3 linked regions of the Elephas maximus indicus genome follow. Each later gene encodes a partner of the first gene's protein in a complex. Links are inferred from orthologs where the notes say so. Each region holds a gene or a part of one and is shown on either strand. Other genes may lie near its edges. The genes, in order: F2, F2RL3 and F2RL2.

The links.
Region 2: the proteins of F2 (region 1) and F2RL3 are in contact, whole or in part, in a crystal structure (PDB 2PV9), measured with the Mus musculus proteins. The link is inferred for Elephas maximus indicus from reciprocal best matches to the Homo sapiens genes F2 and F2RL3. Residues at the interface, in NP_034298.1 of Mus musculus: Glu385, Leu386, Leu387, Cys388, His403, Tyr407, Trp410, Asp411, Arg428, Arg453, Glu454, Asn455, Leu456, Trp501, Gly502, Asn503, Trp508, Thr510, Gln516, Arg538, Ile539, Asp559, Ala560, Cys561, Glu562, Gly563, Asp564, Val585, Ser586, Trp587; in NP_032001.2 of Mus musculus: Asp54, Lys55, Pro56, Asn57, Pro58, Arg59, Gly60, Tyr61, Pro62, Gly63, Lys64, Cys66, Asn68, Asp69, Ser70.
Region 3: the proteins of F2 (region 1) and F2RL2 are in contact, whole or in part, in a crystal structure (PDB 2PUX), measured with the Mus musculus proteins. The link is inferred for Elephas maximus indicus from reciprocal best matches to the Homo sapiens genes F2 and F2RL2. Residues at the interface, in NP_034298.1 of Mus musculus: Phe379, Gln384, Glu385, Leu386, Leu420, Arg422, Arg428, Thr429, Arg430, Tyr431, Arg433, Lys437, Ile438, Ser439, Met440, Lys467, Pro470; in NP_034300.3 of Mus musculus: Thr46, Phe47, Glu48, Glu49, Phe50, Pro51, Asp54, Ile55, Glu56.

What each region holds. Positions count from the first base shown.
Region 1 is NC_064825.1:102,164,556-102,174,758, forward strand, and holds the start of F2 (prothrombin), read left to right. Parts: upstream 1-3,371; coding exon 3,372-3,450; intron 3,451-3,819; coding exon 3,820-3,983; intron 3,984-4,626; coding exon 4,627-4,651; intron 4,652-4,884; coding exon 4,885-4,935; intron 4,936-7,093; coding exon 7,094-7,199; intron 7,200-7,279; coding exon 7,280-7,416; intron 7,417-9,580; coding exon 9,581-9,886; intron 9,887-10,203. UniProt on the Homo sapiens protein: Thrombin, which cleaves bonds after Arg and Lys, converts fibrinogen to fibrin and activates factors V, VII, VIII, XIII, and, in complex with thrombomodulin, protein C. Functions in blood homeostasis, inflammation and wound healing.
Region 2 is NC_064821.1:37,065,285-37,075,487, reverse strand, and holds F2RL3 (proteinase-activated receptor 4), read right to left. Parts: upstream 5,959-10,203; 5' UTR 5,797-5,958; coding exon 5,679-5,796; intron 5,049-5,678; coding exon 3,958-5,048; 3' UTR 3,458-3,957; downstream 1-3,457. UniProt on the Homo sapiens protein: Receptor for activated thrombin or trypsin coupled to G proteins that stimulate phosphoinositide hydrolysis. May play a role in platelets activation.
Region 3 is NC_064820.1:81,272,522-81,282,724, forward strand, and holds the start of F2RL2 (proteinase-activated receptor 3), read right to left. Parts: upstream 4,937-10,203; 5' UTR 4,762-4,936; coding exon 4,698-4,761; intron 576-4,697; coding exon 1-575. Other genes in the region: ras GTPase-activating-like protein IQGAP2, read left to right, coding at 8,270-8,360. UniProt on the Homo sapiens protein: Receptor for activated thrombin coupled to G proteins that stimulate phosphoinositide hydrolysis.

The sequences.
Region 1 (10,203 bases):
GGAAGTGGTCAACAGTGTCTGTTGACTGTGGAGGGTGGTGAAATGTGTAGGAGCCACTGATGAGCCAGGTGAGAGCAGTCAAAAGCCAGACTGGTTTGCTTTGAGGAGGAGTGGAGGTGAGAGAGGCAGGAAGAACATACATTCTTGCTTCGTCCTTATGCTGTCTTGCAAAATAGATGCCGTGATCCTCATTTTGGGGATGAGGATACTAAGTTTCAGCGGGGGTAAGTAACATGTCAAGACCACAAAACGAATAAAAGGCAAAGCCAGATTCAAATCTGGGTGGTTTTCTGGCACTTTCACAGCATTTGATCATAATGTCATAAGCAGCCATGTCTCCCATTTTGCCATTGACATTAACCCAGCTGTCCACCAGTCTGAATAACTTCTTGGTAATGCATAATTCTGGGACTGTCCAGGAGGAGGGAGGGCCAGGAAATGGTGGCAGTGTGTGGGGAGAAACACCACAGCATCCAAAGCCTGAAAAAGAGTTGCTACGATTAGATTTTAACCAACCAACCTTGTTTCTTGGGACTTGTGTGAGGCCTGGTAGGTCCTGTTCTTTTCCAGTTCTTACCTCAGCTTGGGTGATGGCTCAGCAGTGTCTGCCCAGAACTGTTAGGTATCCTGGGGGTACACTTTTCACTTGATAGGGAACTGCGCCTACCTCCCGCCTCAGGCCCTCAAGAGAAGAGGTGCATATGTGTTTTGTCCTCCCTGTTACCACCCCTGCCTCTTGCCACTTCTCCCTCTGCAGGTTGACTCAGCACTGGCCCAAGCTGATCATCAGGGAAAGGGGGCCATCCAAGGAACACCTGTCTTGAGAAGGATGAAGCCATACTTCTCTCTGTTCTCTACTTCTCAGGAGCCCTGCTCCCTTTCTCACTCAGTATTTGATTTTTGAATAAATGAGTGATACAAGATCTTTTCACCATTCCACTCCAAAAAAAAAAAAAAAAAAAGTAGGCTCAATATCATTAGTCAACAGGGAATACAAATTAAAATCAGTGAAATATGCTGATACATCCATCAGAATGGTTAATATTAAATGGACAGAGAATATAGAGTGTCAGCAAGGATATGAAGCAACTGGAACTTTTTAAATGTGGGAAAGTAAACTGGTACAACCACTTAGGAAGACTACTTGTAATAGCTACTTAAGCAAAATATATACCTACTTTATGACCCAGCGAATCTGCTCCTGAGCATATATACTCAAAGAAGTGCTTATATACACCAAAAGTCTTGTTCAAGAATATTCATAGCAGCACTGTTCATAATAGCTCAAAACTGGAAACTAATCCAAATGTCCACCAATGGGTGAATGGATAAATAAAACGAGTAAGAACGTCACGCAATGAAGGAACAAGCTATTGATCCAGACAACACGAATGAATCTCAGAAATATACTGAACAAAAAAAAGCTAGATGCAATGAGTATATACTATAGGTTTCCATTTACATGAAGTTCAAATATAGGCAAAACTTACTTATGGTGATAGCGGTTAGAATAGTAGTTATATTGGGGGTACTGAATGAGATGAAGGAGTCTGTTTTGGGGCTGGGAATATTCTCTGTCAATCTGGGTGTTGGTTACATGGGTGTGTATCTAAAAATCTGAGTTATACACTTAGGATTTGTGAACATTACTGTATGTAAATTATGCCTCAATTGAAATATATATACATATATATCCACACAGTCTTATGCGCTGTTGAGTCAATTTTGGACTCATAGTGGCCCCGTGTGACATAGTAGAACTGCCCCATAGGTATTCTAGGCTGTAGTCTTTACGGAAGCAGATCTCCAGGTCTTTCTCTGCAGAGCCACTGGGCAGGTTCAAACTGTCAGCCATTTCATTAGTGGCTGAGCGCTTTACCATTGTGCCACCAGGGCTCTCTCTCTCTCTCTCTCTCTATATATATATATATATACACACAGACAGACATACACACACACACACAAAATATAAGAACTTTGGCCACCCAGGAATTAAGCTGATTCCTGGGAGCCTGGTCTGCAGGGCTCTGCCAACCCTCTCTGTTACAAACACTGCACCAGGCCCCTGCCCGTGATCTTGCCAGGTGAACATGACTGCAGTCCAGACCCCAAACAGCCAGGCCCAAAGGATAGGCAAGGCAAGGCCCTGTGCTTCCCTCTGTTCTCGCTCTTTGTCCTTCTGTCCTAATTAGACCCAGGACTAATATTTATCTTGCAGACTGCACACAGGAAATGGGGGAGGGACAGGGAGCAGGGCTGGGCCCAGGGGCAGTATAGGACCTGCAGCCACTCTAGGCTTGGACCAGGTAAGACAGGCAGGGAGAGAGGGAGGGGCCCTACCCCAGAGGCCCTGGGATTTGGGCTGGCTTCTGTTCCGGGCAGGCAGCAGGTCCTGGGAGATGAAAGAAAATAGACCAAAGGCCCAAGAGGCCCTGGACCTGCTCCTCCCAGGTAACCACCACATACAAACACACATCCACAGCACCCCAGATGGGAAAAAGGGGAAATGGAACCTTCCATCAGTGGTTGAGAGTCCGGGGCCCCTGTTGGGTGTCCCTGCCCCCAGCACATCCCAGAAAGAGGTGGACAGCTTGTGTCTGGCCACATTGTGGCCACACCCTTGTCTCCGGCCACATTGTGGCCACACCCTTGTCTCCATTTTCTTATATCTGCATATTGTGATTCCACAAACCTCTCCGTCAGTTTACATACATTTATCTACCAATTATTTATGTATTGACATACATTTACCAATTATTAACAAAAACCAAATCTGTCGCTGTCAAGTCAATTCTGACTCATGGCTACCACACGTGTGTCAGAGTAGAGCTGTGCCCCATAGGGTTTTCCATGGCTATGATCTCTCAGAAGTAGATAGCCAGACCTTTCTTCCTGGGAGCCAATGGGTGGATTCGAACCCCCAATCTTTTGTTTAGTGGCCAAGCACAAACCATTTGCACCACCTAGGGACCTTTACATTTATAATCTCCTTTACTCCTCACACCAAGTTCTATTACCATCCCCATTTTACAGATGAGAAAACTGAGGCATATAGAGACTAAAGCAATCATTACCATGTATTAGCTTCAGGAAGATCTTGGCCCAAGTTCACCTCATGCCCCAGGGAGAGGAGGAGTGGGGGTTGGTGGTTACAGTGACCTTTCCTTTGTGGCTTCCTCTCAGACTGTCCATCTCTGGTCCTAGGAGAACGTTTTCACCAGATGGCGGGGGTGGGCAGGTGAACTATCTATCTGCTTGTCCCTACGGCCCTGAACCCATGACCTCTCCTTCTCGGCCAATTTCTTCATGCTAGTTCAACATTAACCCAGAGGGGTCAGGATGAGCCTTCAGAGTCCCAGAGCAGACACACTATGGCGCACGTCCGAGGCCCGCGCCTGCCTGGCTGCCTGGCCCTAGCTGCCCTGTTCAGCCTTGCGCACAGCCAGCATGGTAAGGGGCGGCTTGGAAGCTAGGACAGGCTGGAAGACTGGGCCATGGGCCGTGGTTGGGGTCTACTGGCCTGACAGAGAACACGGCTGACCCCCAGGAGGGTCTCAGCCCAGGGTATCCAGCTTAGGGAAGCAGCTAGGTCCTCAGGGCTGGAGGACGCTGGCTGCTTCTCTCCTGCAATATGGGGAGTGCGCTGGAAGTGGCCAATGTAAATAGGGGACCTGGTGGGCTACATTTGGCTGCTTTCTGGCTTCCGCCGGCATGCCAGCCACCCCCTTCTGGATGCCAGCATGGCTTGCTTCCTGGCCCCACCATGGCCAAGGCCGCCTGGCTCTCTGAGGCCGCTGTCGCACGACCCTTCTACCGCAGTGTTCCTGGCCCCTCAGCAAGCACTGTCGATGCTCCAGCGGGTCCGCCGTGCCAACAGCGGCTTCCTGGAGGAGATGCGCAAAGGTAACCTGGAGCGAGAGTGCGTGGAGGAGCAGTGCAGCTATGAGGAGGCTTTCGAGGCCCTGGAGTCTCCCAGTGACACGGTGAGGACCAAGAACATCGGAACTCATTAACTACTGCTAAGTTAACTTCAACTCTGATCCCCATTCCACTGGGCTGGCAAGGTGATCAACCTCAGCCATTTTTGGAGGTCCCTGTACTTGGCTATGCTGAAGTGCCAGGGTCTGTTGAGGCTGCCTGACATGCAGAGGCCTCCTTGGTCTCCAGACAGCTGCCTATGTTGGGATCTCTACAGTCCCTTGCCCTGACCCATGTGATCTCTTCAATTTCAGCCTTTCTGTGCCACCCTTGGGCTATGGGAATCCTATGAGGCCAGGAGCCCTGGGCTTAGGCCTCAGCGTTCCTGGAACTCTGGCAGCCTTTCCCTTCCTTGGGTGTCTGCCAGGGCCCGCAGCTAAGGACCCATGCTCCTCTCTCCTCTCACCTACCCCAGCTCAGGGGACCCCTTTTCAATTGTGGTGAGTGGGAGAGAGTGGACTCCCCTCTCCTCAAATACCCTTTTCTTTAATGGGCTTGGGCTTTTGGTCACCAATCTCCCCAGAGCCTGACTCTGTGTGACTGAGCTAAGGGAAGGGAAAGTCATTGGAGAAGACAGAAGTTTACTATAATAAAAATAAGTAAATCAAAGGCTCTCGGCTCAGTCTCACTGCAGTCCTTGTTTTTCAGGAAGCATTCTGGGTCAAGTACACAGGTGAGCATCGAGAAGGATCTGCTCCTGGAAGGGAGGCCTGGAGACTCGAGCTAGGGAATGTTCTACCTCACAGAAATATCTGGTTCACCAGTCATCCATCCATACACTCACTCAGCCTTCTTTCTTTCTATCTGTTCATTTCTCTGCTTCTGAGTATTACCCCCCCCCCACCCTTTATTCCAGTCCATCCTGTCCCTACTCTGCTTCCAAAGGTGTTTCTGGGTCTTTTGCAGCTTGTGAGCCAGTGAGGACACCTCGAGAAAACCTCGTGGAATGTCTGGAAGGTGAGGAAACAACAGCGTCAGGGGTGTGGGATGTGAGGGGTAAGCAGTCCCAGGAGAGAGGGGCCTGAACCTGGAAGAGGAGGAGGGTAGGGGTGGGTTAGGGGATGTGGCCCAGTAGGGGCAGCCTCTTACATTGACATTGCCTTTCTTTTTTTTTTTTAATTGAACTTTAGATGAAGGTTTACAGAACACTAGTTTCTCATCAAACAGTACACACATTGTTGTACGACATTAGTTAACAACCCCATGACATGTCAACACTCTCCCTTCTCAACCCTGGGCTCCCTATTACCAGCTTTCCTGTTCTCTCCTGCCTTCCAGTCCCTGCCCAGGGTTGGTGTGCCCCTTTAGTCATGTTTTCTTCCCTGGGGCTGTTCAATCTTTGGCTGAAGGGTGAACCTCGGGAGTGACCTCATTACTGAGACGAAAGGGTGTCTGGGGGCCATACTCTCAGGGTTTCTCCAGTTGCTGTCAGGCCAGCAAGTCTGGTCTTTCTTTTTGTGTTAGAATTTTGTTCTACATTTTTCTCCAGCTCTGTCCCAGACCCTCTATTATGATCCCTGTCAGAGCAGTCAGTGGTGGTAGCCAGGCACCATCTAGTTGTACTGGACTCAGTCTGGTGGAGGCCATGGTAGATATGGTCCATTATGACATTGCCTTTCTGTCCCTATGGTCTAGCCTGTGTCTCTGCATCTCTAGCCCCCAGCTTCATGTTTGGCAGTCAATAAGATGTTTAATGTTGGAGGAACAAATGAATGAATGAATGCATGATGAATTAATGTTTAAGGCCTCATTCACGTTTGCCTGACTCTGCTCACCCCAGTCTTGCCCGCTGTTTCCAGAGCACTGCTCCTATGTTGTCACGCTCATTCTCCAAATCCCTTAGTGGCTCCCTATTGCTCCCAGGAAGTGTGGCGAGCTTTGTGCTTTCTGGCCTGAACTTCCCCTTCTAGCCTCACCTTCCACTGCACCAATCATGAACTCAAACCTTCAGCTACTCTGACAGCGAGAACTTCTTGACACATATCAAGGCGTTTCTCCTTCCTGGCACTTGCTCACATTGTCACTTTCTCCTGGAGCACTCATCAATGGCTATTGAAAGCCTCTCTATCCTCCAAGGGCTAATTCAAGTGCCATCCCATTCACTAAGCCTTCAGGGAGCCTTCTGTCTCCTTCATAGCATTTTAAATATACCTTTAGTATGACAGGGGCCCTGGTGGTGCAGTGGTTAAGAGCTACAGCTGCTAACGAAAAGGTCAGCCGTTCGAATCCATCAGCCAATCCTTGGAAACTGTATGGGGATGTTCTACTCTGTCCTCTGGGTCGCTATCAGTTGGAATCGACTCAGCGGCAATGGGTTTTTGGTTGGTTTTGGTATGACAATGGTCCCCACTACATGGAACACTTTAATCGCTGGCCGTGTTTTCATTAGTTAAATCATTCATTCGACAAACATTTAACTAGGCCCCTGCTATGTGCCAGACACTGTGTTGGGTGCTGGAGAGTCTAAGAGAGTCAGACACAGTCTTTGCCTTCAAGGAGTACACAGTCTCAAAGGAAAGCAAAAATACAAATCGTCAAGGTGATTGCTAGAAAAGTGCTGTTCAAGGTGCCAGAAGAACACAGGAGGGGCTTCCGGTTTGCTGGCAGAATTGGGGACAGGTCCCAGAGGAAGTACAGTTCACCTGGCCTTGTGGAATGCATTGATGAACTCTGCATTCCAGGCAGAGTAAATAGCATGTGCAAAGGCCCTGAGGTATGAGTGAGCCTAGTGTGCTCAGGAGTTAGGAGCCAAGGCACCAGGATAAATAGACCAGGGCCAGATCACAGAAGGACCTTGTTCACTTTTTCATCCTCTCAGACATGAGGAGCCACTGAATTTAAAGATGCAGAAAATTTGACTGTGACTGTCTTATTCATCACTATGTCCTCAGTACCTGGCATGGTGCCTGGCCCATGGTGGGTGCTCACTGACTATTTGGCGACTCTTGTTAACTGACTAGAGAACTGCTGGGTAAACCAGAGGTGCTGAGTAAATGCTGGTCAAGCACTGTGGTCCTGAGAGAGCTCGGAGAGGGTAGACAGACAGAGCTTTGCTGGGAGAGAGAGGGACAAATCCTCAGGATCCCAATACTGACCTGGCCTGGGGCCTCTGCAGGGAACTGCGCTGTGGGTCTGGGCACAAACTACCGTGGGAACGTGAGCTTCACCCGGTCAGGCATCGAGTGCCAGCTCTGGAGGAGTCGCTATCCACATAAACCTGAGTGAGTGATGGGCAGAGAGCAAGGAGACACTGGGGCATGGCTTCCCGCTGGGGTCCCAAGCTGAGCTTTTCCTATTCCAGAATCAACTTCACCACCTACCACGAGGCCTACCTGAAGGAGAATTTCTGCCGCAACCCAGATAGCAGCACTACAGGGCCCTGGTGCTACACTACAGACCCCACCGTGCGGAGGGAAGAGTGCAGCATCCCTGTGTGTGGTGAGCTGGGGCAGTAAGGCAATCCACGGCCAAGGTCAAGGCCAAGGCCAAGGCCAAGGCCAAGAGGTTTCTATGGGGCCTGGCAGCTGGGGGCAGGACCTGAAACCCCAGCTACCTTAGAAGGGGTTAGTCATCTAAAACGTATTTGGGCCCGTCAGTCAGTGGAGCTGGGAGACCTGAGGGCGTTGACTTCCCACGCTCCCCTTGCCCTCCCCAGCCTTGGCTTCCTTATGAGCCATCTGTGGCTTGTTGCAGACATGCTTTTCTTCCTGCACAGGCACTTTCCCTCCAGGAATCCCTCCCAGACCATTTCAGTCCACATGTCCTTTTCTGAACACCACAGAGCAAGACTCATTCATTTCAGAACTGTGCGAGTCCATCATTATTATTTCCCGTGGTTTATTAGTTAGCTCAGCCCCTGGGTGGTTGGAGGTTCAAGTCCACCCAGAGGCATCTTTGGGAGAAAGGCCTGGCGATCTACTTTCAAAATAATCGACCACTGAGAGCTCTATGGAGCACAGTTCTACTTTGACATGCATGGGCTCACTGTGAGCCGGATTTGATTCGACAGCCCCCCCCCTTTTTTTTTTTTCTGTCTTAAATCAGTTAGGTCGGTCCCTGGGTGGTGCAAAGGGTTAATGTGCTTGACTGCAAACTAAAAGTTTGGAGGTTTGAGTCTACCCAAGATATCTCTGAAGAAAGGCCTGGTGTGATCTGCTTTCAAAAATCAGACATTGAAAATCCTATGGAGCACAGTTCTACAGTGATACGCATGGGGTCACCATGAGTCAGAGTTCACTCAACGGCAACTGAAACTAGAATCAGCTACAGCCATAATAATGCTGCAAAACCAACCATAAGATCTCAGGGGCGTACAACAATAAGCATTTATTTCTCGAGTGTAAAAAGGCTGGCTGGGGCGGCTCCTTTGATACCAGCTGGACTTGCTCTGTGGGCTTGACTGATGTAGGACGTGTCTGGCTGGGTGGCTCTGCTTTAGACCATGGGTCCTGCTGAGCTCAGCTTCTTGCTGCAGGCTGGGCCCAGGCCTGCTCCACATGTGTTTACGGTGATGGCAGAAGCAAAAGTCACTGAGCAGAAACACACGGTGTCTCTCAAGGCCTAGGCTCAGAACCGGCACAGTCACTTCTGTCCACATTCCATTGGCCAGAGAAAGTCAATGATCAAGGCCACAGCCAACAGGTGGAGAAGTACACCCTGCCTCTGCGTGTAAAGTCACAGGGGTACAGACAGGGGTAAAGAATTAGAGCCAGTCCCTCAATCTAGCCCACATAGGTTGACACTATTTGCCCTTCAAACATCCTTATGGGGCCTTGACCTTGGGATTGGTCTTACAGTCATCAATTGTCATAATAAAAATGGCTACCATTTCCCCAGCCCTCCCCCTCCGCATGATATGTATGTTGCAGGCATGCTGAAATTGACCTACTGCCCATGTAGATAACCTCAGTCAATCCCAGCAATCTTTCTTCTGTGCCCCTACATAAACACAGAGTTCTTCTTAACCCAGCACTCCAGGCAGTCACTGCCAATAGATTCAAAATGACCCAGGAGGGAAATCTGTTTTCTATTCTGGCTTATTATGGGTCAGACTCTTTAATGGTTATGCTGTATATTCTGTTTAATCCTCTCAACAACCCTGCAAAGATGAAATTACCAAAGCAGTTGCTATCAAGTTGACTGTGACTCCTGGTGACACCATGTGCATCACAGTAGATCTGTGCCCCAAAGGGTTTTCAGTGGCTGCTTTTTCAGAAGTAGATCACTGAGGCACTTCTAGGTGGACTGGAACTTCAATCTTTTGTTGGCAGCTGGGCACATCAACTGTTTGCACCACCCAGGGACAGCATTGTTGTTGTTAGGTGTTGCTGAGTTGTTCTTGACTCATAGTGATCCCATGTGACAGAGTAGAACTCTCTCATAAGGTTTTCTTGGCTGTAATATTTACAAGCAGATCACCTGGTCTTTCTCCTGAGAAGCCCATTAATAATCCTTTGTATAAGCAACCAAACTGAAGCTCAGAAAGATTAAGTTACCTGGGGTCCTATAGGTAGAAAGCAGCAAGGCAGGGATTGAAATCCTTGTCTGCCTGGTTCCATCTGGGGGTCCATCTATTTTACTCCCCTGCCTCCTCCCCCACCAGGCGGGGAGGGTGTCACTGTGGCACTGACCCCACGCTCCAGGGTGAAGCCCTCACCCCCATCTGAGCTGTGTGTCCTGGATCGTGGCCAGCAGTACCAGGGTCGCCTGGCGGTGACCACACAAGGCTCCCCCTGCCTGGCCTGGGCCAGCAGTGAGGCCAAGGCCCTGAGCAAGGACCTGGATTTCAGCAAGTCAGTGCCTCTGGTGGAGAACTACTGCCGGAATCCAGACGGGGACGCTGAGGGCGCGTGGTGCTATGTGGCCGGGAAGCCTGGTGACTTTGAGTACTGCGACCTCAACTACTGCGGTGAGTGGAGAAGGCCAGGGTCCTGAGATGCAGAGGACAAAGCCAGGAGGGAATAACAAAAGAACAAGTCATTTCCGTTTGTCTAACGCTTACCACGTGAGCATGTGAGTGCGTTCATTAAATCCTGTGGTAGCTGAGTGAGGTAGGCTCTACGCCCATTTTACGGATGAGTAAACTGAGGTCCCGGGAGGTTCAGTTACCTAGAAACTGAGGTGCGTATGCGCTCTTAACTACACGAAGTGGCCCCCAAAGCCGGCAAGTGACTTGGGAGAGCGGGGAGTTGGGTGACGAATGGCCCAGCTCAGCTCCATTGGTGC
Region 2 (10,203 bases), on another chromosome or scaffold:
AGGCTCAGGCTCAGTCCTGGTCAGGTGAGCGTTTCTTTCAGGCAGGTTCTCTCACATCAATCTTGGTGGCAAAGACAGTTTTTTATTCCACTCAGCAAACCCAACAGGAAGAACGCTTTCCCCCAAATCCCCAAGGGTCAGCGGTGTGCCATCCTGCCCCAGGCACTGGGTTTAGTTCATGGCCATTAATTATTGATGGGGCTGGGTTTAGGGTTGTCATTGTTCCAACTCATGACGACCCCATGTGTTACAGAGTAGATCCGCTCCATACGGTCTTCAAGGCTGTAATCTTTACAGAAGCAGATCACCAGACCTTTCTTCCGGGGTGCTGTTGGGTGGGTTCGAACCACCGTTTAGGTTAGCAGTCGAGTGCAAACCATTTCCTCCACCCAGGGGCCTTTGGGTTTAGGGCTACTGTCTAATTATTTCTCGTTTGTCCACTCTGTTCATCTTTCCATGCCCTCTTTTGGATTAATCAAATATTTCTTAGAATTCCATTTTTTTAATTTAGCTATTGTCATTTTGGAGCCGTGCTGGCACAGTGGTTAAGTGTTGGGCTGCTGACCAAAAGGTCAGCGGTTCGAATTCACCAGCCACTCCTTGGAAATCCTGTGGGGTAGTTCTTCTCTGTCCTACAGAATCACTATGAGTTGGAATCAGCTTGATGGCAATGGGTTTATTGTCTTTTGAGCCTTGGTGGTGCAGTGGTTAAGAGCTGTGGCAAGCTACCAGTGCTAACCAAAAGGTCAGCAGTTGGAATCCACCAGCCGCTCCCTGGAAACCCTGTGGGGCAGTTCCACTCTGTACTGTATGGTCACTATGAGGTGGAATCGACTTGAGAGCAATAGGTTTGGTTTTTGGTTTTATATTGTCTTTTTAACTATACTTTTTTCCATTATGTTTCTAGTGGTCCCTCTGGGTATCAGAGCTTATTTGCCTAGTAGTGTCCTTACCAAGGAAACCCTGGTGGCATAGTGGTTAAGTGTTACAGCTGCTAACCAAAAGGTTGGCAGTTAGAATCCACCAGGTGCTCCTTGGAAACTCCATGGGGCAGTTCTACCCTGTCCTATAGGGTCGCTATGAGTCGGAATCGACTCAACGGGACTGGGTTTGGATGCTTTTTTTTTTTTGTCCTTACTAAGGAGTGGCTTCTCCTCCTTATGGTCACCTACCTGCTTGGCGCCTCATCCTGTTCTTGTCAGCCCTGAGCTGTCCCTCGGAAAGGTCCAGCAACTGTTCGGTGGGAGGTGACACCTGAGTCCAAATGAAGCTGATAAGCAGATCAGCAGAGACCTGCCTGCCCGTCAGACCCTACTTAGGGTCTCCTGGGGCCCAACCACCCTCACCCTCAACCGGAGGGACAGTGGGGGTGCTGGGGGCTTGTTGGGGGTGGGGCAGCTCCACTCTTCCCAGCTGGAGCTCCAGACCCCCCTAGCCCTGATGCTCGGGCATCTCTGTCCTTGAGCAGGCAGCTCCTGCACCCCAAATTCGCTATGGGAGAAGGGGCATTCCCTAGAAGGGCTCCTGGCCAAAGGCTTCTTTCTGAGGCAGACAGGCACCTAGCCAAATTCAGGAGACAACGTGCGTCCCTCCATCAGCAACTTTGAAATTTAACAGGCTGCCTCTTTCCACAACAGGAGGCCCAGGCCTCCTTTTGGGGCTCCTGGCCACTGAGTCCCTTAACTGGTACCTCAGAAGCCAGAAGGCTGGGTTGTCCTGGGTCACCTCCCCACCTCCGCCCTTGCCCCGAGGGTCCCTCCCCCACCCACCCCCACTCCCTTTCCCGCCCACTCCTGAAGACCCCTGAACGTTTAGCTATGGTAGCACAGAGCCTTACGGAAAAGCCCCGGGTCCAGTGTAACGTACCCTCTGCCAGCCCCGGGTCCCCCGGCCCAGGACAGGCCCTCCGCTTCGGCTCTGGAGGACCGTTCTCCTCCTGGCGCCGCGGGGTCTGACCTGCCTTACGGGAGAAGTCCCAGGCCGCCCCCAAAGCCTGCTCCTGTACTCGTCCCGAGAACGCGCGTTCTTGCGCGTGTCTGCCCCTGGCGGCGCCTTTGCGCGGGGTTCTCCGAGGTAGTTATTTCAGCCAACTCTGTTAAGCTGTTTCTCCGCCCGGGGGCGCAGCGACCCTGCCACTTACAGCCGCCCTGTCCTTCCTGCCCTTGTGGGCCCACGGGGATAGGCCCCGCGGCTGCTTCCCCGACTTTTCCCCAAAAGAACACGGAGGTTGTGGTTTAATAAAAGCTCGTTTCCACCGGAGTCACAGATGGCGACGGCCTCCTGCGGGTTATGGGGGCTCAGTCATAGACAGGGACCAGAGGGCCCCCCCGAGATGCGGAGGCTGGGTAGGGGCCCTCAGGCCTCAGCTGGAGCCGCAGCTCCCCAGCAGCCGTGGCTTCTGTGCCCAGGTCTTTAGAGCTGGGTGAGCGTGGGGTTTCTGGAAGTCACACACTTGCACCCCGAGATCACCCTAGATTCACATGCAGGTGTAGGAAATTGTACAGAGAACGTCCGGGGCACCCCTTGCCCAGTTCACCCAATTAATGAACATCTTACAAAACTCTAGTACAAGGTCACAGCCAGGATTCTGATCCACCAATCTTACACAGACTACATGTACTCGTGTGTGAGTGTGTATGAGTGTGTGTGGGAGTGTGTGTGTGTGTTTGCAAATGTGTCAGCATGAGTATGGATGAATGTGTGTAAATAAGTGTGGGAGTCCCTGGGTGGTACAAACGGTAAACACATTCAGCTACTAACTGAAAGGTTGGCAATTTGAACTTACCCAGAGGTGCTTTGGAAGAAAGGTCTAGTGACCTGCTTCTGTTAAGATTATAGCCAAGAAAACCCTATGGGGCCAAGTTCTACTCTGTAATACATGGGGTTGCCATGAAGCAGAATCTACCACATGGCAACTGGTTTAAATGAGTGTGTGTGTGTGAGACAGCTAGTGTGAGTATGAGTGTGTTTGAGTGTGTGTCCCCAGGCACCCTGACACCCTGGCTCAGGGTCACCCTGCTCACCAGCTCACACTTTCCTGGCCCCCCAAGGCTGGGCTTATTGGCAGCACAGACTCAATGGGGAGCCCAGGACGCCCCCCCCCCCAGTCCCCTCATGCTACAGTCTCTGCCCCACAGCTCCAACACAGTGCTCTAGGTGGCTCATGGTGTTGGGGTGAATGGGGGTGGGGTTTACCAGCAGACTGGAGCATTGTGGAGGGGGGTCACAGGGCTATAGGTCTGAGTACCAACCAGGCCCCCAAGAGCCCACCGCTGGCCTCACCTAGTTCTGGGGGGAGTTAACATCAAATCGAGAGGTCAAAGAGTGGTTTAGAGGAGAAGCTGGAGTCTCTAGGGCCCTGGAGACAGAGGAGGAAGAGACTGGGACCTGTATCCCCCATGACAGAGTTGATGCTTTGGGGCAGAGTCGGGGGCTCTGGGTTTTTTTTTTTGTTTCGTTCTGTTTATTGTGGTGAAAACATACACACCAGAACATCCGCCAGCACGACTTCCACATTTACAGTTCAATGACATTGATTACGTTTTTCATGTTGTGCCACCGGTTATCCTTATCCAAAACATTTCACCACCAGAGGGGCTCCGTTTTGATTGCTCAGAAGATGCCCCAAACCCTGGGCACCGCCCAAATTTGGAACCAGGGTTGCTGGGGCGCGAGCGGCTGGGGCAATTGGGGGGGAAGGGGGAGGTGGTGGCAGCCGGGACTCCCCCTGAGCAGGGTCCTGTAGAAGGTTAGGGGGCTCCCATCTCTGGAGGGGGCTTAACTGTAGTCGGTCCCACAGTCCACCTGGTCTGGAGGTCCAGAAGGGCCAGGAGTCTGGCTAGCCCGGGGGGTCCTTCTGGTCTGGAGGTTCTGCTGACTTTGGGGATCCGGCTGGTTTGGGATCCACCTAATCCGGGGTCCGGATGCCTGGGGCTCAGCATCCCATCTGCAGGTCAGTCATACCAACGAGGTAGAGCGGGTGCCGTTCCCCGCACCAACCCCTTCCCCGGAAGGCTTGGAAGTCGCGCCTGCGTTTCCAGGCGTCAGTCTGCGGAGCGCGTGGCGCACCTTTTCACGGAACTCGGCCGATACGTAGTAGTAGACGAAGGGGTCCACGCAGCTGTTGAGGGTGCTGAGCGCCAGGCTGGGCAGATAGGCGGCGTAGAGGTTGCCCCAGGCGCGCGGCCCCGGGTCCGAATAGTGCAGTAGTAGCAGCACGTTGCTGGGCGCGAAGAAGGCCAGGGCCGAGGCCAGCACGAGGGCGGCCAGGCGCAGAGCGTGATCGTAGCGCCGGCCGCCCGCCGCCAGCGCGCGCAGCGTAGCGCCGTAGCACAGCGCCATGGCCAGCAACGGCGCAAAGCAGCCAAGGAGCGCCAGGCAGGCGAAGGCGGGCCGCCAGTGCGAGAGCTGCGCGTCGAGTGGCAGCGCGTCGTGACACAGCAGATGGCCCGCGCCCGCGCCTGCCAACCAGAAGGTCTGTCGCTGCAGCGCGAGGGGCAGCGATAGCGCGGCGGCCACCAGCCAGGCGGCGGCACAGAGCCCAGTGGCCAGACACCGGCCGCGCAGGGCGCGGGCGCGTAGCGGGTGCACCACGGCCAGGTAACGGTCAAGGGCGACAGCCGCCAGCAGCAGCAGCGAGCCGTACATGTGGCCATAGAGTGCGACCGTGGCCAGGCGACAGGCGGCCTCGCCAAAGGGCCAGCGCTGACCGCGCAGGTGGTAGGTGATGCGTGGCGGCAGTGCCAGGCCCAGCAGCAGGTCGGCGGCTGCCAGATTCATGAGCAGCAGTGTGGAGGGCAGGCGCGGCGTACGTGTGGCCAGTACCCACAGCGCCAGCCCGTTGGCCGGGAGTCCGAGCGCCAAAGCTAAGGCATAGAGGGCAGGCACCAGGCGCGTTGGCACCCAGCCCAGCAGCAGCGCCTGTGAGCTGTCCGGCAGTAGCAGGGTGTCGCTGTCGTTGGAGCAGAGGCGGCCAGGGAAGCTGCGTGGGCAGGGCAGATGCGGGGCTGTCACTTCTGTGTGTCTGAACCAGGGCCCCAGCTCGCTACCTGCGGAGAGAGCGGTGTCAGCCCAGTTTCGAGGGAAGGGATGGGTGCCGAGGACAAAGGGGGCTACACCAGAGCCTGGCATCTGCCCCTCCTATCCCCTTCCTTGGGGTCTGCCCCTGGTGTCCCCTCTTGTGTCCATCTCTAGTTACTCCCTGGTGTCTGCCCTTTATGTCCCTCCCCAGACTCCTGAGCCACCTCCTTGTGTTCCCCTTGGGCCCTTTGTTGCCACCCTAGGGTCCACCCCAGATCCCTCAGCTGCCCCACTGATTTCCCCCTTCCTTCTGTCCACCTCTAGTGACCCCCTAGTATCTGCCTCTCATGTCCACCCTGGACTCCTCAACTGCCCCTGTGTCCCCCCCAGACCCCTGAGCCACTCTCTTGTGCTCCCCCTTGAATCAGTTCCCTCCCTTGCGTTGTCCCCCTCATTTGCTCCCTTGTGTTTGCTGAGGGGAGCCAACCCATGGGGGGCTACAGTCCAGGCCCCAGCTCTCAGGATGCAGATGCCCCCAGCCCCACTGGGTCAGGGCCAGGGTGGGGGATGGGGCTGAAGGGCCCCTCAATTTCCCTCTACCCAGGCCCCCTGGCTCTGGGCCCCATACCCCTTGGCTTCTCTCTGCTCCTTTCACTCACCATCGGCCCCGCTTGCGCTCTGGTCCTCAGGGGTCTCGTCGTAGATGCTGGGGGTGCGGGTGCCGCCAGCAGGGTTGAGCCCCCGCACCAGGGCCCCGAGCAGCAGGAGCCTCCGCATGTCACTGCCGACAGGCTCGGTAGTCTGGGCCCCTCGGCTTCCTGCCCGCAGACCCCCAGCCCAGCTTCCTGCCTCAGCCCCGGAGGGTGGAGAGCTGGGAGATAAACCAGGAAGACCCCTTCCTGGCCCCCACCCCAATCCTGCCTGAGGGACTCAGCTGAGGACTGGGCAAACCAAGGTCAACTCCACCCAGCTGAGGCTCCTCACAGGGCCCAGCAAGATGCGGGGGGTGGGGGGGGGTGCTGCGCTGAGCTGCTGCCCCACCTCGGCACCCCCCTCCCAAGCCAGGAAGCATCTGTGGTCCAAGTGGTCGCTTCCTGCTGTTCGCTCGCTCTGCAGCCCCAGTTCTCGTGACAGCCATGCGTCAGGGGCCCTTCCTGAAGCCTCTCCTCCCCCCATCCCCAGGCTGGAGGTCATCGAGCAGAGGGACACCCACGACACCCAGTCCTCTGTGGGACCTCACTCCTGTCCAGCACCTTCCCCTGGACATGGGAGAAAGGGCACTGCAGGGGTAAGAGGCACCTGCTGAGCCTGGGGTCTGCTGAGGAGAATGAAGAGGGGCTTAGTCCTTAGCCAGAGTTACTGACACTGACCACGTGCTGCCCTGGGGTCTGAGGGGACCCTGGCTCTTGAAGCCCCAGCCCCAGCCTCAGTTCGGTGATGTGGTTCACAGCCAGACCCCAACCCAAGGGAGGCCCTTCCTCCTCTCAGCCCTCCACGCCCCCCACCCATCCTGGCGGCCAGGCCCCTGTGGGATGTAACATCCATTCTCTGGTGGGGGGGGCACCCTCTGTGCTGATGAAGAAATAGAGGCTTCGACGGTAGGCACCCTTTCTTTCTCTAGTCCACGCCCCTCCCGGCCTGGGAGAGCCCTGTGGTCGGGGCCAGGCCACAGGGAAGAACTGGGGGCAGGAGGGCCAGCCTGTGGTGGTGGGGGTCTGGGGTTAGAGGGAGCCGTTTCATCTCAGGGCAGCCCTAATCTAGTCACACACCCGGGGACTTGTTGACCAGCCAGGAAGTGATGAGGCAGAGTCCTGGGCAGCGTCTAGTGTGGCAATCACCCATGTCAGCCCAGGTGGAGATAGGAGGGCCCTGCCCCAGCTCCGGGAAAATCCAAGGCCAGAGAGGTCCCTGGGCCCAGGGAGCTGTTTGTATCACACTAAGGACACACTTAGCCCACACTCACATCTTACAGACACATGTAACCAAAGACATCCACAACTGGGATCCCTGCCACCTTCATTGTAGGTGATGGGGGAAGTCAGTGTTCCCACCCTTTGACTCAGGGGCCCCAGATCCGGGAACTTACCCTGGATGTCCCAGGGAAGATGTTTGTATAGGACATTTCTGTAGCACAAAGTGGGGTGCACAGTCCCCCTCCCCGTTGTGGATGACACTGTGTCATGGGAGGGACCCCAGACATGACAGGGAAGGTACAGAGACACTGGGAACCCAGGGTCTCACTTGAGTGACGTGCGATGTCCAGGACCACACCCTGGGACGCTGGGCGCAGGGTGAGGCTGCCTGGGGAGAGGACTTGGGCTTTACTTCTCACCGTGAGCCATTTGTGCTGCTGTGATACTGTTCATGTGAGTGACCTAGGACTGCTGGACAAAGTACCACATGCTGGGGGGCTTAAAAGAGAAGAAATCTAAAGCACTCAGCTGCTCACCAAAAAGTTGGTGGTTCTGAATCCAACAGCCGCTCTGTGGGAGAAGGATGTGACAGTCTGCTTCCGTAAAGATTACAGCCTTGGAAACCCTATGGGGGCAGTTCTACTCTGTCTCTTCGGGTCATTATGAGTTGCAATCAACTCAACTGTAATGAGTTTGGGTTTTTTGTTTTGTTTTAGGAAGCTGTTATTGCCTTACCATAAGTGGGTCCTAAATCTCCAGATACTTGCCTTCAGCTAATGGCTGGGAAAATATCAAAACACACACACACACATGATTCTGTTTGACACATCCCTGCCTTAAAAATTCTATGCTAAAGAAGGATAGTTTATAGTTTGCCTGGATATTAGAACAGCTTTCCCTGGCAGCTGCAAATAGGTAACTATTTTTTGTTAAAGCTGTCAGTCACGATTCATTAACTGTATTAAGAAATGTGAAGAGGTCAATTAGGAGAATGCTATATTGCTCAAGGAGTTTTATGCAGTACAGAGAAGGAAGGATGGAATTATCAGTTCAACAACCTTACCAAAAAAAAAAAAAAATTTGTATTTAACTTTCTGATCAAAAATATGAAGCAGAGATGGTACAGGTAATGATGATGGTAGTATGATAATAATGATATAATAATACCATTATAATGATATTAAAATATGATTCAATAATAATAACAATAATATTTGAAAAATAACAAGAGAAGTCAGCAATGGGAAAAACTTAAGGCATAACAAATAAGTCATTCCTAAGACTGTAGGTGTCTTAGTTATCTAGTGCTGTGTAACAGAAATACCACAAGTGGATGGCTTTAACAAAGACAAATTTGTTTTTTCACAATCTAGTGGGTATAGTAGGTTACAAGTCCATATTTTGGGTGTCAGCTCTAGAGGAGGGCTTTCTCTCTCTGTCGGCTCTGGAGGAAGGTCCTTGGTCCTTGTCCTCTATCCTTCCCTGGTTGAGGAGCTTCTGAGGCCCAGGGACCTCGTGTCCAAGGGACACGCTCTGCTCCTGGTACTGCTTCCTTGGTGGTCCCCACCTCTCCGCTTGCTTCCCTTTCCTTTTATCTCTCGAGAGATAAAAGGTGGTGCAGGCCACACTCCAGGGCAACTTCCTTTACCTTGGATCAGGGAGGTGACCTGAGTAAGGGTGGTGTTACAATCCCACCCTAATCCTTTCAACATAAAATTACAATCAGAAAATAGAGGAGAACCACAGAATACTGGGAATTATGGCCTAACCAATTTGACACATATTTGGGGGGGGACACAATTCAATCCATGACAGTAGGCTACAATAACGTTTCAAAAATTTAAAGGTACTATCAGAACATCAATTGCAAATCTGATACATAAAGAAAGTGTACATCACTATAGCCTACAGGATTTATGAAAACACAGATTACTGGGCCTTACCTCCAGTCTCTCACTCAGTAGGTGTCTCAGTCATCTAGTGCTGCTGTAATAGAAATACCACAAGTGAGTGGCTTTAACAAAGAGAAATTTATTCTCACAGTCTAGTAGGCAAGAAGTCTGAATTCAGGGTGCCAGCTCCAGAGGAAGGCTTTCCCTCTCTGTCGGCTCTGGAGGAAAATCCTTTGCATCAAGCTTTCCTTGGTCTAGGAGCTTCTCTGTGCAGGCACCCTGGGTCCAAAAGACACATTCTTCTTCTGGCACTGCTTTCTTGGTGGTAAGAGGTCCCCCGTCTCTATGCTCACTTCTCTCTTTTATATCTCAAAAGAGATTGATTTAAAATAACCTAATCTTGTAGAGGAAACCCTGGCGCCATAGTGGTTAAGTGCTATGGCTGCTAACCAAGAGGTCGTCAGTTCGAATCCCCAGGTGCTCCTTGGAAGCTCTATGGGGCAGTTCTACTCTGGCCTATAGGGTCGCTATGAGTCAGAATCAACTTGATGGCAGTGGGTCTTAATCTCGTAGATTAAGAGTCCAGCCTCGTTAATGTAACTGCCTCTAATCCTGCCTCATCATAGAGGCAGGGTTTACAACACGTGGGAAAATCACGTCAGACGACAAAATGGTGGATAATCACACAATACTGGGAATCATGGCCTACCCAAGTTGACACACATTTTGAGGGGGCATAATTCGATCCATAAGAGTAGATCTGGATTACACCCAAAAGTCTGCATTTCTAACAAGTTCCCTAGAGATGCTGATGCTGCTGGTCCTAAGACCATATTTCGAGAACCACTGTGATAAATTAAGTCTCAAATCCTTGGAAAGGAAGGAAATGAATATTCATTGAGAGGAAAGGGAGAGAACAATTATTGAAAAACTACCTTGAGTCAGGCTTGGTTAAGTGTTTACATAGTTCCCGGTTTGGTTATGTGTTTGTGTAGTTGACCTGGTGCGGTCCTCACATCATCCCAATGAGCAGTACTTCTCCAACATACAGAGCAGTGGGGGATGAACGCATCCATGCAGAGCCTATGCCTAAGCAGTCCTCTAGAAAGGGGAGATTATTGATGACTGTATTACCTTAAAATTCCCCATAAAATTTGTATTCTGTTTCAAAATATCGCTGCTCGTTTTGAAATAAAATACTTCTAAAACAAAAATAACCCCGAAGAAATCTATTCTCTCACAGTTTGAGAGACCCAAAGTCCAAAATCAAGGTTCGGCTGGGCCATGCTCCTTCCAGAGGCTCTAGGGAAGGATCCTTCCTTGTCTGTTCCAGCTTCTGGTGGCTCCAGGCGGTCCTGGGCTTGTGGCTGCATCACTCC
Region 3 (10,203 bases), on another chromosome or scaffold:
TGTTAGTAAGGTATAGGTGCGCTTGGGTAGCCCCCGGTAAGTGAAAGGGTGGACAATAGCCAGGTAGCGGCTAATGCTGATACAGGCGAGCAGCAGAATAGAGCAGTACATGTTGCCATAGAAGATGATAATGGTGGCCCGGCACATGACCTCTCCAAACACCCAGTTGTTCCCGTTGAGATGGTAAGCTATCTTAAAGGGCAGTGTGATACAAAAAAGAAAATCCGCAATGGCCAGGTTGGTGTAGAAGATGGCCATACTGATGGATCTGGTCCTGAAGATGAGCATCCATAGGGTCACTGCATTGGCTGGCACACCAACCATGAACACCAGGGTGTAGATGGTGGGTATCACTTTGGTGCTTAAGGAGCTGCTCAGGTACCCCATGGTAACATTATTCACGTGGAGATTTGAAACACTTTCTTCAGGACACTTAGTTTTTATAGGTACAGTGGCTCCTGTCCAGCCTTCTATGGCAGAAAAAGGAAACTCTTCAAAAGAATTTTCGGGAACGCCGCGAAAGGTCTTAATAGGTAAAGTTGGCTCTGCCAAGTTGTCTGCATCATTTTCCATGCCTGTAATTGAAACAAGTATTAGCATGTGATTTCCTGCAGAACCATGCCTACAGTTCAGGAGAAAATAAAACCAAGTATCTTATCCGACATAATTTCTGTAGATCTAGAATTTAGGGTCATTTTTATTTTTAAAAAACTTTTATAGGTCAGACAATGAACAGTGTATATAGCCTAACACCATGCTAACTGTGCAGGAGCTGTTAAAAACTAGATGATTAGTCCTTGCAAGTAAGGAGTTTATAGTATGATGGGGAAGACAAAAATAGCACGCCAGACCGTTATAGACCAATATCATACTGATGACGAACTCTGTAGGAATTCAGGCAGTAGTTAACAGATTCAAGTGAGCAGAGTGTCCCAAGGAAAAGATGAACCTGAGCAAAAGTGAGCAAGGGCCATGAAGATGAAACTTAATAGATTAATAATATTCTGGTAGGTGATGTATGGGCAAAGACATAGGGTGAGTTGACATGAGATTTGGGAATGTCAGATAATTTGATTCAGCAAATGTTCATTGCATACTTATGTACCAGTGGTATAAAGTTTTGATAAATTCCATCCCTATCTTTAAGTAACTTTCAAGCTAGCATACAGGTTCATAATGCATTGTCTTATGGGAGATTGTCCTGGATTATCTGGATTATGGTCCTAGGGTAATCACAGGGGTCCTGATAAGAAGGAGCCAGGAAAGTCAAAGTCAGAGAGATTTGAAGATGTTACACTGCAGGCTTTGAAGGTGGAAGAAGGGACTATGAGCAAAGGAAGCTGAAAAAGTCAAGAAAACAGATTCTTCTCTAGAGCTTCCAGAAGTAACACAGCCCTGCCAATACCTTGATTTTAGGACTTCTGACCTCCAGAATTGTAAGATAATAAACCAGTATTGCTTTAAGCCACTAAGTTTATGGTAATTTGTTGTAGCAACAATAGGAAACTAATACACTCATGATTTGACTTGTGTTTAAGATGACTTTGGGTGACAGTGTAAAGAATAGTAAGGCTAGAGGCAAGGGGGCCTGATTTAGAGGCTACTGTAATTGTCCAAACTAAAGATGATGAGTTACTAAACGAAAGCAGTGGTGGTAGAAAGGAGGGGATGAACACAAGCGACTCGGTGGTAGAGGCTCAAAGGGACTTGTCATCTGATGGACCGTGGGGGCCAGTGAGGGAGAGGCAGGAGGCAAAAGGGACTCATGATTTCTACTCCAGATGACTTGGAGGAGGATGCCATTAACTGAGGTGGGGGGACAAGGGAGCAAGACTGTGGAGAAGTTAAATCTCAGGTTTGAATTGTGGGTGGTGTAGCAGTGTATTGAATTGTCCAGCAGGGTTGGAAGACTAAGTGTAGAGTCCAAAATTCCAGGAGCCCAAATTAGAGGTATGAGTTTATTAGTCTGCATAGAAATTGTAGTTTGATTTAGTAGAAGTAGTTGTGATGGTCTAGGGGGAGATGTGAGAAGAAAGAATCTAAAGGTAAACTTTAGGGAAAATGCCTGATTTTAAGGGGAAAGGTGACAAAGAAATATCAGAAGGTGAAATCAACATGGTGCCTTAGACGATTAAAAAAAAAAAACAAAAAAACCCAGTGCTGTCGAGTCAATTCCGACTCATAGCGACCCTATAGGACAGAGTAGAACTGCCCCACAGAGTTTCCAAGGAGCACCTGGCAGATTTGAACTGCCAACCCTTTGGTTAGCAGCCGTAGCACTTAACCACTACGCCACCAGGGTTTTCTTAGAAGATAGGAATGAATTTTAAAAGCAGAGAAACACAGCAACCACATACTTAAGTATTTGGCATTACATTGCATGTACATATTAATAATCCTAATTTCTGAAAAGGCAATTAAACAAGCTTGAATGGTCAAACCTGTTTATCACTATACAATTTTTCCAGTAATTAATCTTTGACATGTGTAGGAAATTCCGGTTACTGGTGTGTCAGTTCCGATTCATGGCGACCCCAGTGTGTGTCAGAGTAGAACTGTGCTCCGTAGGGCTTTTAATGGCTGATTTTTCAGAAGTAGACCACCACACCTTCCTTCCAAGGTGCCTCTGAGTGGACTTTCGGTTACCCAAGCGCAGCAGCCATTTGCACCACCCAGGAGACCCCGTATAGAAAATAGGTTCTCCCAAATTTCTAATGTTACCTTAGGATGGACTTTGATCCCAAATATAACCTTGTACTTATTAATTAAAGTTGTCAGTGTTCTGCCAGTTAAGTCTTTTCACATGACCTCTGAATTCCTACTTGTTGAATATTTGTGGTTACCTGTTTCTCTCATACAGATTAGTTTCTCTTCCTGCTTTAATCTCTAGGAGTTAGCTTCAGGGTGAAATTGAAGCCTTTCTCACAACCCTGAGATTACACAACTGAATTCAGATGTAAAATAGAGACGGAGTGTTGCCCCAACAAGTGAGCACATGTGGGTGATCCATCCATCAGTGTCACCTAAGGAAGGGTAGCGCGATTGAAGAAGAGGGAAGAAAAATGTGGAAGGTGGCATTCTTCTGTGCAGCCTTTGAAGGCATCTTGTGTAAGACATCTGTTCAGCCACAGAAATCCCTCCATTCATTTTTGTATTTTGGAAGCATTCTTGCACCAACATCACCCACAGAGAGTGCTTTTAAAGATGGACATGAAGCTGGAAAATAATGGATTAAGAACATGCTGTACAAGTAATTTCCCTTCAGGGTTTGATAAGAGAGCTACTGAAACCAAGTGTTTGTTAGTTTTCAGAAATTCCTGTGATTGAGCAAGACATACATAAAAGCATATCCTAAACAGTCACTGTGTTTGTGAAAAGCTGACTGGATTCCATTTTCTGCCAGAATTCCAGATCTAGTTCAGCTTAAATAAATCTTTTGTTCCTTAGAGCCCCGTTTTCCTGAAAATAGCACTCATTGTTAAATTTTATTTAAAAAAAAAAAGTTATTTGAATTCTTTATGCAGGTTTCGATTTGGCGTAATGTGTCTGAAATGTTTTTCTGAGAAAAGGAGAGAGTCCTAATCTAAAATTCAGCTACTAGGTAATGATTCCTTCCTTCAATGCTTCATATTTTCCCCCCACCCCAGTTGAAGAAGGCACATTTACTTGTATTTACTTACTTTGCCCCTTTTAAGTTCCCTTCTTTTCAATTTCACCAAAGCCCACTAGCATCCTGAAGGAACCACCTCCACAAAACTCTGTTCTTTTCCAATTTTGCTGCTCCAAGTTTGGCTCATCCATGCCCAGAAAAAGCACTTACTTATCCTATTCTTAGACTCCACACGTGCTGCTGCTAGCCTCCCATCCTCTTAGAGCTTTCCTGTAACCTCTGGGATGCAGTCTATCAATTGCAGCAACGTTCCCTTACTAGAGTGGTGGTGGTGATTTTCTTGTTGTGGTCTTCCCTCACCACCCCCTTCCAACTCCTAACAATGTTGACTGGAGATGACCTAATGGTAGAAGGTTATGGATACAGATCAATCACAGATTTGCTAATTTTGGAGCGAGCAGGTTACAGGCTAACGTTGTGATAGGTGAAATAGGAGATTTATGAACACTTGAATAATAGCCTTTGGGAGATCTTATTTCTAAAACTAAAAATTCATATATGAGGATGAGAGAACTTGCTCCTACCCCTGAAAGTCAAAAAGGTATTTCATTTAAGAAACACTAATTTATTCTTAGCATCATAGCATCACTGGCATTTGAAAGCAGATATTTTACTCTGTCTAGCAGTATTCCTGCGCACACACACACCCCCTTTTTGTTTATACCAGAAGGTGTAAACATAGGACTTTTCTTTTTATCCCTTGAAAAAGTACTATCTTGGCTGAATCAGAGGAAATTGTTAAAAATCCAAAAACTTCTCACAAAGAACATTGACTTTTGACTTAATTGTAGATATTTAAAATCTCACATATGGCATAAATTTTGAAATATCAGCAGAGAACACTTAGTGACAAGGTCTGAGTAGAGTGAACAAGCTCTAGATACTTCCGTGACTTCACTGTTTAATTCAAATCAAGCTCTGCCTTTTCAGTTTGCAGTTTGTGTGAAATGTAAAGAAAATCAGGTTCACTTGAGTCAGCGTGTGACAAACCAAGACTCCCATGCTACCCCGTAAGGAAGGGGCTTACCGCTTTGACAGAGAGTGGGCGGCAGAAGCAGTAGTCCAGCAGCTGCAAAGATGAGAGCCTTCATTTTGATGACCTGAGTCCGAGTTCTCAAACGTTATCAGATGTAAAAACTTACGGAACACAGCTGGAAGCACGGGTGCGCATCAGTTCCGTGTGCTAGCAGCAAATGGAAATTTGTCATCTCAGTAGAAGTTTGCTCTCCTGTGCTCTGCAGGCAGGAAACTCGCCTTGTCTTCTGCAGGGAAAGGGCGTGACATCACTGATTTTCAGTATGCCGTGACTCAGGCTGAGCTTCTGGCCAACAGGAGCACGCTACATGATCCTCAAGAAAGTCTTTTAACTCTTACTCATCCCTAATAATCCTCTTGAATAGGCTGTAATTCCCATGCAGCGTAGTTATGTGCATTTAAAGAAAGCAGAACGTACACAGTCCTTTCCAGAAGGTAGCTGAAAATCGATGCTAACGGTTTTGAATCTGCCCCATCTCTCATTTTTACCCATTTTTAAAGCCCAGCTTCTACTTCTTAATTGAGCTGTCAGAAATTATCCTTTCTTTTATCCTCCCAGCTATTTCAGACGTTAAATCTTGAGCTCATTACATAATTATAAATTAAGCCAATAGTGGAAGACAAACATTTGTAAGACGTTAAAAGTAATTGGGCGCTTGGTGACTTTGAAAATTCTCCATTGATGTCACATTGGCCTGAATTTGTCATCAGTGCTTGACCAGAACTTGACTTTGTGAAGTTTTTTTGTTTTGTTTGGGGAGGGCTTTGTTTTATTTGTTTGCCACTGCTCAGTGTGTTCTGAGCCTCTTGTTCTGTAGGGCCAGGTAACCGAGGGGCCCCAAGCAACACTATTTGATGAAACTAAAATCATAAAACAACACTGAAGTACAGAGGACTCCCTTTATTCCGTGAGTCTCCAGTAAGCTTCTATGCGTGCTTATGTTCTAGGTCACTCAAAAAGAAAACTGTGTTATAATAGGTTTTCCTATAGCTAGTGACGTTTAAGATTAAATTTTAAGCTAGAGAACCCAACAGCCTGTTGCTTATAAAATGCCGCCAGAGCCAGAAAATGCAAATTCCACGTGAGCCTTAAAGGCTGAGGGATAGAGCTAGGAAATTGATCTGTGTGAACTTTAAATTAAATCTCATCAAACCAAGATTTTTATAATCCGAGGTCAGCATTTAATACTTCAACTACATAATGTATGCTAACACAAACTGAGAAAGAATGCTCTATTGAAGAAATTATAACAAAAGAAAAAAACAAAATATTGAGTACATTTTCCTTAGTTGAAACTTTTCTAGGAATCATCTAAATTCAGGAATTTATTATTTGATTCACACATGGCCTAGTTTTTGTCCATTTGATCCATCTATAATTCGCATGTGGAACCTGGTTGTTTAGCTGGATATAGAGGTGTGGCCATCCATAAAAATAAAATTATTTTCAGTTTCTGGTAATGCAATTTGAAAAGGAGATCTTACTTTGATAAAATTCAGTTTTCGCTCTTGGTTTTCTATTTAGCTCGACCTTCAGTTTGGAGCCCTGGTGGTGCAGTGGTTAAGAACTTAGCTGCTAACCAAAATATCAACAGTTCGAATCCACCAGCCGCTCCTTGGAAATCCTGTGAGGCAGTTCTACTCTGCCTTATAGGGTCACTATGAGTTGAAATTGGCTCACTGGCAGCGGGTTAGGGGTTTTTTTTTTGTTTCTTGTTTTGATATCTTCAGTTTAACATGTCACAATTTAAACTGTTGACCTAAATTCATTTGATTTACAAAGTCCCTCTTGAGCTTGGCTTGTAAAACCAATGTTTTAAAGGGGAATTGTCATTTTCTTCTCATCTGGATAGTTTGTGCTGGTGCTTCTTCTGCAGTGATAAGTTATGAAGGAAGATGGGTAAATACCCTCCAAAAAAATAAGACAGACGTAAATAAACTTGTATAGAGCTTAGTTTTAGAACAATAGAATGAGAAATATTGAGTTGTCTTTGGGCTTGGAAACACAAAATAAAAGAGTCCCTCCTCTGTCGTCCATTCATTCCTCCTTTAGCCTTTGGCTTCCCATCTTATTTCCTGTTTGAACTTTCCCCATCCATTCTTAAAAGAAATGGAACATCTTACTAATAGCTGATAGGTCCCATGTGGCAGTTCTGGCTAGAAATGATTGTGGAAGCAGGGCCAAGCCTCTCTTCCCCCAGTGGTCTCCGACAGCCTGGATGTTGCAAGAAGAAATAACAACAATTGTTTTGTCTCATTTTCAGAGCCCTCTTCACACATTAGCCTCTGAGGGAAGTGGGGTTAGAAGCCTGCTGGAGGAGCTGGAGAATGTCATATCTCCTTCCTGCCCCCATCCCTCTTGAGTCCTACATGATAGAGTTGGTTTTCCAGAGTACGCTATGGCTCCAACCCCAGAGTCACTACCTCCCACGCATCGCTATCTTGCTTTATGATTTGGGACATGACACTCCTACATATAAGCAAATATTCCCATTTTTTAAGTGAAATGTCTCAACCTCCCTAAAAATATTTAATTTCTACCTCCTGATAGCAAAATTTACTTGCAGTCTTGGACAAGGTTTTGTAAAGCATAGCTGCTAGCTGGAAGCTCCATTTAATAAATTATATATTAGCATCGCATTTGTAGCAGGATCATCAGAATCAACCCAAAGGCAGAACTGTAAGATAATTCAGTACATTTTAATTGCTCTTATCACTCCTCTCGGAAGCCAGCCTTATCATTGGTCTTTGCTTCTCCTGCAACTCAGCACTCCTATCATAAATTAATCCCTTCTTAGCTATTTCTAGATATGTCTACAGCTAGTATTGGCATGGATCACATTGTATAACAATTATTTCTTGACGACATCTGTCTCTTTTACTAGACTGTTAACTCCTTGAGGGCAATCACTGTGGCTTTGTTTCTTTGTTTTTGTCTCTGTGTTCTATAAATGTCAAGTATCACTGTGTTTCTGTCAAATTTACCATACCCCATGACACCGAGGGGCACCTTGGCACGTAGTTTGGGAACCAGTTAGAGTGACTGGGGGAAGGAAGGGCGTATTTAACTAGAGCAGTAGGAGGCGATTGAGTTGAGGCCTGAAAGATAAGATAAACTAGTCAGAGGAGTGTGAGGTGAAGAGGGGGCGGGGGTATGTAAAGCCAGATCATTAGAGCCTCACAGTTGATGGCAGGAGAGCCTGTGCTTCATTCTAACTGCAGTGGAAAGCCTTTGGAGGATTGTAAGCAGAGGACTGACTGATGAGATACACTTTTATAGATTGTCTGGTTCTCTGTAGAAGACCGCTGTCATAGAAGGCAAACTCGGAAGCAACAACAGCAGATAGGGGACCAGCTGTCTGAGAGGTGGCAGTGGAGAAGTGAGAAGTGGTCAGACTGGGTCTTTTTCATAAGTAGCTTTTACAGTATGTAACAGTGCTTGGTAGCTGCTAAATAAAACTTTGTGGAAGCTAATATAAAATGGCTCTTGATAAGCAGTTATTCATTCTGTTTCATCATCATTCATCCTTCTTTCTTTCTTTTACTCTATGACAATGTTTCCAGGACCCTGAGTCTGCTTCCAAAGTTCTTTGGCTGGATGAGATACAGCAAGCAGTCGATGAGGCCAACATGGACAAGGAGCAAGCAGAAAAATGTGAGCACTTGCCTTCTTTCACTGCTGAACTTGCCTTTTTTTAATTTAGCTAGATGCTTGAATCATGTAATTTTTAATTTCTGAAGTGATTTGGACCCTCTTACCAAATTTTAGTTCTTGAATGTATATTTATACAAAAATAAAATTAATTGTACTGTGTTCAGAGATTAGATTCTATCTCTGATATTTCAGAATGCGGCTGAACAAAATCCAGGGAACAAAACAATGATTCTTAAGCTCTTAAATTTCATAACTGAATCGAATCCTTTTTTATCTTGATCCTTAAGAAACTAGCCCATTTCTGCTTCATGAATGCCTATTCTCTCTTTTGTGTCTTCCATGATTCTATTTTCTAGGAGGTATGGTATGAAAATTTCTGTGACAATTCAAAGTAGCTTCTAAATGGTACAGTAACACTCAAAGTATACTAATAACCTACACAAATTAAAATAAGGTTCTTAAAAATATAGTTAATTAACCTGTCCATTCATGGCATGATTTAGAATCTGTTAGGTTGTGTCAGGTCATAGGATGCTGTTGAGATGCCTTAGTCTTGCTTCATAGATGTGCTTTTAAACCCTGGAGGCATCTGTGAGAAACATCTGGTTTTTATTTCCTTAGCCTAGAAAAATATCTGGATTTCTCCAGCCTGAACTTTATACCCTTAGGAACTTCGAAGTCTTCCCTTTTCTAGCAGTCTAGTTCTTAAGGAAAAAAAAAATTAAAATTGAGACACACGTATAAGAGATTTAAGTTTAAATGTAAAAGTGAAGGGAAGCCATAGTCTGAAGAAATAATTTAAGAAATTAGTTTGTAGTTGTTTTTGTTGTTAGTTGCTGTCTAGTTAATTCCAACTCATGGCTACCTCATGTGCGCAGAGTCGAACTGCTCTGCGTAGACATTCAAATAGCCTAAAATGGTTAATGGTTTTTCTCTTAGAGATTAAACTAATTTAAGAAGGTATTTTACTCCTTCTATTCTGGATTCTTCTAATGTTTGGCCTGCAAATGTTACATGGATTATTTACTACATTGGGACTCATGGACTGTTGACTATAAAAAGCAAGAGGCTTTTCTCAAATATGTGCAATTTTTTATTGCACGTTTGCACATTCAGAATCCTCCCTTTCCCTCTGACCTGTGCCTCGGAGAGTTTATGTTCTTTCTTCTACAATATATAACAAGAAAAAAAGTTGCTTTGAAGTTCAAAGCCATCTACATTCTGACATTAAGATGAGAATTTTCTGGTTTTTCAACAAAGTAATCTTAATTTTAAAAACATTTTTCATCTTTTTATGAAGACTTGAAACAGATTGTGGTCACATGTTGTAAGCATCAAACCCATTCCCAGATAATAGGATAAAAGGAAATGTGTTTGCCCATATGTTTTACCACAGGCAAAATTTAAAAGGGCAGAGTAGCCCAAGTCTTCTTCACTTGACTCAGTGTTCATTTTTGCTGGAGGTTCTTGCTTCCTTAACGTAGGTTTGCCTCTACCATGACTCCTTAGAGCAGTGTTTCTCAACCATTTTTCATTATTGCCCCAAGAAGTCTTTTAGACATTTTTTCCCCTAATTGCCCCCACCATAAAATTCTATTACCAAACACACATTGTATATCTGTTTATGTGCTGTATGTGGATCTGTGCTTTATACATAAACATATTTTTTGCACACCCCACAAGACCCAATTTTTGCCCTGTTGGGGTGATATTGCCCTCACAGAGAATATATACCTTAGAGAGAGCTTGCTGGTATATGACTTAAAATGTCTAGCAGATATTTTTTGGCTCTGTAGGGAGATTTATGGAAGGTTTCTTATTCCTTCCTTAGCAGAAACATACC